2 linked regions of the Caenorhabditis elegans genome follow. The protein of the gene in region 1 purifies or fractionates together with the protein of each later gene. This does not show direct contact. Each region holds a gene or a part of one and is shown in the gene's direction. Other genes may lie near its edges. The genes, in order: K11H12.1 and C35D10.6.

Region 1 (4,019 bases):
GAGGTGAAAGTCGCCACTTTTGGAACGGTCATCGTGAGACGAGACAACATTTTCTGACTGAAATGATGAGAATACGACGAGAAAAGTGGAAATTGTGTTTGTTTGTGATGAAAACAACCGAGGTCACGTGGGAAAAAATGATGCAACGAGGAGTTATGAAATTTAGAAAGTTCTAGATGTTTTAGAATGTCTAGCGAAAATAACGTAGCCTAAAATAAGGGATAAACCATTTATTATAGCTTTATGCCGGATTTCCAAAGTTCTACAAATAAAAACCACATTTTAGGGAGAAAAATGACTTTTTTATTCGATAGAAACCGAATATTACTGATTTTATAGATATTTTTCGATTAAATATAATGTTTTATCAATTAAAAATACGAAAAAACCAGATAAAAACCTGAAAAAACCTGTAAAACAAGGAAAAACATATTAAAAATCACAAACAATTCGTGTCGATTTACGGCGGACGAGGCTTGGCACACGGCCAGCCGCCGGACTACGGTGTTTGCATTGTGGAGCGTGTTTCGAGTGTATGCGAAGTGTATGAGAGCGTCTTCTCATTTCACACACGAGTTTTGTTGGCCTAAACGATTTTTTTGGATTTTTCAGCAATTTTAGTGAAGTTTTCCTAGGTTTTTCATGAATTTTGTTAAATTAATTTAAAATTTTAATTTTTACTGGCAAAAAATCAGTAGTTTGTTATTTTTACGCAGAATTCCGCCCAAAATGTTGGGACTTTGATGAAATAGATTTTCTGTCAGCCAGAATTTTAAAAAACTATGTTCCATTCTTCGATTCACTTTTCTTTTTCAACAATTTTATTTATTCAACCCCTCAATCTCGTTATTCTAACCTTTTTTCTTTCAGAAAACATGGGTGCATACAAGTATATGCAGGAAATCTGGCGCAAGAAGCAGTCAGATGCTCTTCGCTACTTGCTCCGTATTCGTACCTGGCACTACAGACAGTTGAGCGCCGTCCACCGTGTCCCACGCCCAACCAGACCAGAGAAGGCTCGCCGTCTCGGATACCGTGCCAAGCAAGGTAAGATTGTAAAGATTTGAATAAAATTTTAAAAGCTACTTGCCACAATGTCTGGGCAAGGTGCCCTGCACCCGCTTGAGCAACCTAATCCATTGATGGCTATATAAAATTCATTGAGTAATCCCTGTTGAGTTATATAGAACTTTCCAGTTTCATATCATTGATACAATTTATTGAGATTAAATTTCATTTTTCAGGATTCGTTGTCTACCGCGTCCGTGTCCGCAGAGGAAACAGAAAGCGTCCAGTCTGCAAGGGACAAACCTACGGAAAGCCAAAGACCCATGGAGTTAACGAGCTCAAGAACGCCAAGTCTAAGCAAGCCGTTGCTGAGGTGATTACTACGAATTAAATGATTAGATGAAATTGTTGCCTCAGTGTCTGGGCAAAGCAGACTGTTTTTAATAGTACTGACTTAATCCACTGATGGCTATAGAAAAACATTGTGTAATCCCCGAACACCTTGTGGTGTATTGGATTCATGACATTGTGACAATTTAAACAAAATTTTCAGATATTAGCATTTACTTTTCAAAGTTAATTCGTTGTATTTCAGGGCCGCGCTGGACGTCGTCTTGGATCCCTCCGTGTTCTCAACTCCTACTGGGTTGCTGAGGACTCCACCTACAAGTTCTACGAGGTTGTCCTGATCGATCCATTCCACAAGGCTATCCGTCGTAACCCAGACACCCAATGGATCACCAAGCCAGTTCACAAGCACCGTGAGCAAAGAGGACTCACCTCTGCTGGACGCAAGTCTCGTGGACTCGGAAAGGGATGGCGTTTCTCTGCTACCCGCGGAGGATCCCAAGCCAAGAACTGGAAGAGAAAGAACACCAAAGTTTTCCACCGCAAGCGATAAATCTTGTTATTTTATTTTGTTTTGGGCTTGTTCCGAAAATGAAATGGTTGTTATCAAACCTAATTGTTTTATCTTTGTATTTTTCACATTAAAAAAGAAATAGTTTTTAAAATCACAGTCTTCATGAAAAGAGTAATGAGCACATTGAGCGAAGGCCCAGTAGCACGTCTTCTCAAGGAGAAGCTGTTCGCCGCGTTCCAGGTAAACTGATCTCTAAATATGTCGGAAGGAAACTGTTGAATTCTAGCCAAAACATCTCGAAGTGGAATGCGAGAGCCACCTGCACAACGTTCCAAAAGGAGCCGAGAAGCACTTCCGAGTGCAAGTTGTCAGTGATGAGTTCGAGGGGAAACGTGTCATCGAGGTTGGTGGAAAAAGATCGATACATGGATTAGTCGAACACATGGAAAAACTCGCTAAAGGCCGTGGAACGGCACTTTTTCATAGGCTTTACCAATTTTTCAGCTAAAACATTTGCTTTTTCAACATTATCGCCAATTTATTCCTTCTTAAAAACATGGATTTGTCGATTTCGTGGCTAAAAGTATGATATCTGGTCTCGACACGACAAGTTTTGTTAAATACAAACGGGTGTGCGCCTTTAAAGAGTACTGTAATTTCAAGGACTCGTTTCTGCGCAATTTTCATCGACTTTTCATAATTTTTCGATAAAAATTATTTATTTATTTAAAAAAACCCATAACAATAAAAACACATAAATTCGCGAGAAAAACTATGAAAAATCGATAAAAACTCGGTAGAAATAAAATTTTGAAGTTACTGTATTTTTTTAAAGACGCACTCTTTTTCCAATGTAACAGAAAATTTAGTTTCGAGGCCGCCGGATGATACCGCATTTTTGGAGCAAAAATCGCAAATTTTCGCTAAAATTGGCGAAAATAGTTCAAAAATTTGGAAGTTTCGTGTTTGCGGCCCCAATACCTAACGAGACCCAAATTATGGTTATTATAAGAACAAAAAATTCTGTTGACGTGCAAAATATCTCGTAGCGAAAACTACAGTAATTGTTTAAATGACCCCACTGTAGCTCTTGTGTCGATTTACGGGCACAATTTTTGAAACGAATTTCTATGGTTTTCACAAAATTTGGAAGCCCGTATTAACCCAAAAAAATGTTGATTTTCAGAGACATCGTCTTGTGAACACGTGTCTTGCCAAGGAGCTTGCCACGACTGTCCACGCGCTTCGAATCGACGCTATTCCAACCAGCAAGTGGGACGGACAGAAGCAAGAAGACAGTCCGACGTGCCGTGGTGGATTTGGAAAATAACATGATCATTTTTGAATTTTTTTTTCATGTCAAAGTATGAAAAATATATAGAAGAATAAAAAAGAAACAAGTATTTATTTATTTTTTTTTAATGAGAAATAAATCTTCAAAGTTATCGTTCTCAATCGGGAACCACAGACAAGAAACCGCATGGATGGGGGAATGAAACTCGAACTAGTGGGGGGAATATATCTCTTATAACACGGATTTCTGGCTTCCCTCATAAATTGAAATGGAAGAGTTTACCGAACTAGGCCATTTTGGCTCGGCCATATCTGGGGTAGATTTACGGCGCGCCGCGGCTCGATTTTAGTTGTAAAACTAAATGTATTTGTCCGTGTGGAGTACACGACTTTCCCACGCCTTGGCGGCGATTGTCAATGAAACACGGAAAATTCAATGAGGAAGACCAGAACCCGTGTTATAATAGAAAAAAAATAACAAAAAAAAATGTTCAGAGCATAATCTCTGACATGTTGAATGGATTGAATCGTTGAAGTTCTTCTCGAAGTTTGTCTGAAAAACTTTTATTGAAAATCGATAAAAATTTCAAAATTATTATTACCTAAAACTTCATCAGAAGTTTTCTGCCCAACTACAGTATGCTTTCGCTCGACAGTTTGGTGCTGTGGAGCGCGGAATGATTTGAAATACGGATGACGGAGCAAATCTCGAGCCGATTGACGTCCTTCAAGAAGTTGGAACAGTAGAGATCGGGCGTTGAAATCTGGAAACAATTGATTTTTTAAAAAATCTCCCAAAAATCTTCAAAATAGGTTCTTACCAAGAAGTCCCGAGTCACTGCTTCCCTCGAGCACA
Region 2 (4,046 bases), on another chromosome or scaffold:
ATTGCATCGAACCTGGGACCCATGGTGGAGATTGTGGAAAAGAAGCTCTTGCAACACAAAAATGCGGAAAAACTTTTGGTAAGCAACTGGAGTAAACTTGATTACTGAATATTTCTTTTTCAGAACGATGGCCGGGAAGTTTTCATTAAAACGTTGGAGGAACATAATCAGAAAAAAGGTATTGTGATAATAATAACATTTATTTGTCTCTGTAATAGCTATAGTGGGTGTCAGATGCTTTACATATTTTTGATTAATTTCTTTAAAGGCTCATTGTAGGGAGACACTTTTATTTTGATGATAGGAACTTTTCACAGCACATGTGCCTTCCATGTAGCTTTAAAAAATATGTTTCCACTGATATATAATCTTCCGCACTTTTTTATCTAAAAATAATTTCAGAAAAGGTTGAAAGAAAGGCGAAGCTCGTAGCAATACCACCAATGAAAGCTAGAAACAGGAGGTCTTCACGCAATAGCTTGGTGTACATAGATGGTCCTTCTACTTCTGAAAGTCATTCTTCAATGGTTCAACAAGTTCCCATCATCGACAACATTCCCGAAGTGCTCGAAAATGAGACAGCTGTCTGTTCCATTTCTAGTGAAGCAGATCATAATTCGAGAGGAATCAAAGATAATCAAGAATTTGCAATTGAAATCAGTGGGGAAGTGTCTCGAACCGACGACATTTGTGATGACTTTGCCGTGTTCCTCAAAAAATGCACAGTACTATTGACGAAATTTATTGACTCCTACTATGATTTCCGTTCAACTATGAAACTTAAGCCAGAAGATGCCATTGAGCACTGGAGTGCTGAACGTTTGACCAAAGAGGAACACGCCGCGAGGGTCACAAGATTTGATGTGGCGATCGCTAGAGCGACACGTGTGCAGTATAACATCGATATCAAGCTTCTAACAAAGCAAAGTTTTGTGTTTGACGATGATCGTGAAGCTGCCATTAATAAGAGGCTCGCCCGAATCGAGCGTTTTGTGAACGAACAACATGAAGAAATCAATTGGTTTTGTTTTTCAAATTTTTCACTCATGGATATTGGAGAAACGAAGGATAGATATTGTCTCGGCGATTTTTATGACAAGGTATTACAACTTTTAAAATGTAAAATGGCCACGAAATACTGAATTTGATAACGAGACTGTTTCAAAAATTAATTTTTTTTTTTTTGAAGTCTTGTTGTAAAATTCGGTTTTTAGGGTCATTTTAACTATTGAAACAACACAAAAGTTTGATATATAATGTGTATTTTTTTCGCAGGCTATCAGTATGATTCCAAAAGTGAAAGATGTCCCGAGTGTGGTGCAACTGGCGAAAGAGTGTAAGATGTGGTCCGCATTTGAACGAATTCTCAAGCAATACAATTTTGAGCCGCTGAAAGTTTTTGAAGAATTGCAAAAAATGCTTGAAAAGGTACATTTCAGTTGTTCTGTTCGAATTTAAATGTTTACATAAAATTAATTTTCAGGATTATTTTCTACCGAAAGGTAAGATCTTCTGCCAATTCTTGCTCAATGTCGCCCAACTGTTTTCCTATGATGTCGTTAAGAATGAATGGTCTTGCATCAAACAAATCGACGGGACGTTGTTTTCGGGAGTCCCATTTGATCGCGATGGAAGTGAGTTGGCTGAAAATTATTGAAAAAAAATTAGAAAATTACATTTTTCATCTGAAAAATTGGAAAGTTAGTCTGAAATTCTGAAATATCACAAAAGAAATGCGAAAACGATAAATTTAAAAAAAATTAAAAATCCAAATTAAAAAAAAAACCGAAAACTTCAGATAATCATAATAATCTATGTATTTTTCAGATCTACTCCCCACTTCTCAAAATTCGCCGACCGAATGCTCTTCTTGATTGTGTCATTTTTCTCATTTTTCCATGTAACACATCTAATCATTTCATTTTCATCTTACCATTTTCATATTTTAAACTTGCTGCACAATACATTTTTCCTTTTAAAAATCGTTTTTTTTTTCAGTCTTTTTTGGTTTGAAGCCAACAGTTATTTATTTACTTTTAAACAATTATTTCAAGTGTAATTGTTTTGCTTTTCAGGATCAATGGAGCATCGTGAATATGTTAAGAACAACATGCCATTGATCGGAATTGGCACGTGGCAGGTATTGACTTCGAATAAATCAATTTTTTGACTAAAAAATAAATTTAAGGTTCAAAAAGAAGAAATTCTTCGTCAAGTGATTGATGCAGGTTTCAAAGAAGGATATCGATTCATTGATACGGCACAAGTCTATAACAATGAAGCTAAAATTGGTAGAATCTTGGAAAAATTGCTTCCAGCAAATGGGTTGAAGAGGTAGGTTTTAAAAAATTTATAATTGTTTCTAAATCTTTTTTTAATCCTGCGAGAAAAAACTGGTTTTGGTGTTTCTTTGATTTGAAACCCATTTTCTCTAATTTTCAGCAAATTGTTTCGCTAAAAATGTTTAAATTGAAAAATGAAAAAAAATTCGACAAATTATATTCTAAACCAATAATCAAAGCAAACATTTAAAAAAATTTAAACTAGGTTATTCATTCAATATTATGTAATTCAAATATAGTTCAGCCACTTTTAATCTACAAAATTGAGAAATAATTTTTAAAAATTCAATAAAACCACAGAGCCACCAATTGAAGCTATCTTTTTTTCAGAGAAGACATCTGGATCACGTCAAAGTTAGCCCCATCTAATGCTGGCGTTAAGAAAGCTCGGGAAAGCATTGAGGAGTCACTGAGCAATCTTAAAGTCGAATATTTGGATCTTTTGCTCATTCACTGGCCTGGAAGTTCCCTGAAAAGCGAAAATCCGGCAAACAAGAAACTGAGAGTGGAAAGTTGGAACGTTATGTGTGAAATGATGGCTGAAGGAAAATTGCGTTCAGTTGGGGTCTCTAATTTTGAGATTTGTCATTTGGAAGAATTGAAAAAAGATTCTAATGTTGTCCCAGCAGTCAATCAAGTTGAGTATCATCCTCATTTCCATCAGGACGATCTGGTCAAATACTGTAACGAAAATAACATTCATTTCCAGGTGGGATTTTTCTAAATCTCGCTCTCTTGAAGTTTTTTTCAGGCGTACAGTAGCCTTGGCAGCCCAACATATCGTAAACAATTATCCGAAGAACCTCTGATCAAAGAACTTGCTCAAAAGTACAATGTCGAGATTCCTGTGCTCCTTCTTGGATTTGCTTATTGCCAGGGAATTAGCGTACTTCCGAGAACTACAAATCCAGAGCATGTTGCTACCAATTTTAAAGTTACTAAGCTGGCGGTCTGTTTCTAGATGGTTTTTAGTCCTAATGTCTAAAATTGGGATTTACAGATTACTCAAGAAGACATCGATCGTTTATTGGCTTTGACTGTCGAACACAAAACTTGCTGGGATCCTCGCGTAGTGGTTTGATTTCCAAAATCATTTATCATTATAAATTTAAAGCTACAAATAATCCTCTATATTCTAAATAGATGTATAAATTTTAAATGCCGAGTTATTATTTCTTGTTGTTGAAAGATCTCGTGATTGAGTCGTATATGGAAATTTTGAGCTGTCATCGAATATTTAATCTTCTTTCTTCGCTTTCGCGCCTTTTTTCTCCTTCTGCTCATTGTACAAATTGAGAAGATCGAATGCAAGAACACAGTTCTCTTCACTGAACACAAATGGAACAGCACGACGACTATCGTTGACTAGTGGACGACGAGCGATTTCCTTTGCGTCCCTAGAAATTACAGATTGGTTGAAAATTAAAATAAAGCTTAAATCTTACTTGAATACACAAATAGTTGGTAACTGTCGTGACATTGGATGAGCATTCACACGGAACCGCTCGCCTTCTTTTGCCCATCTTCCAATATCCAATTTCCCAAACTTCATGTTTGGAAGTGTGAACTTTTGACTCAATTCCGCAAAAACGGGTGAAGTATGTCTGCATTCTGGGCTCCATGTTGTGAAGAATTGAATAACCCAGATGGTATTTCGATTTCTGGTAAGTTCTTCGAAAAGCTGTTCACCTTGGAAATATGTCA

Evidence for each region.
Region 2: the proteins of K11H12.1 (region 1) and C35D10.6 fractionate together in Caenorhabditis elegans (co-fractionation; one large-scale study listed by BioGRID). This does not show direct contact.

The regions. Positions count from the first base shown.
Region 1 is NC_003282.8:651,428-655,446, reverse strand, and holds K11H12.1 (Putative bolA-like protein K11H12.1), read left to right. Parts: upstream 1-2,025; 5' UTR 2,026-2,044; coding exon 2,045-2,110; intron 2,111-2,156; coding exon 2,157-2,273; intron 2,274-3,056; coding exon 3,057-3,200; 3' UTR 3,201-3,317; downstream 3,318-4,019. Other genes in the region: K11H12.8 (Growth hormone-inducible transmembrane protein), read right to left, coding at 1-50; rpl-15 (Large ribosomal subunit protein eL15), read left to right, coding at 876-1,047, 1,245-1,381, 1,604-1,909; K11H12.9 (Protein kinase domain-containing protein), read right to left, coding at 3,655-3,716, 3,766-3,927, 3,985-4,019.
Region 2 is NC_003281.10:4,857,264-4,861,309, forward strand, and holds C35D10.6 (NADP-dependent oxidoreductase domain-containing protein), read left to right. Parts: upstream 1-2,075; 5' UTR 2,076-2,080; coding exon 2,081-2,140; intron 2,141-2,188; coding exon 2,189-2,334; intron 2,335-2,672; coding exon 2,673-3,051; intron 3,052-3,093; coding exon 3,094-3,291; intron 3,292-3,342; coding exon 3,343-3,423; 3' UTR 3,424-3,509; downstream 3,510-4,046. Other genes in the region: C35D10.7 (ULP_PROTEASE domain-containing protein), read left to right, coding at 1-78, 124-178, 403-1,100, 1,276-1,428, 1,484-1,634, 1,828-1,874; C35D10.10 (Thioredoxin-related transmembrane protein 2 homolog), read right to left, coding at 3,580-3,739, 3,788-4,046.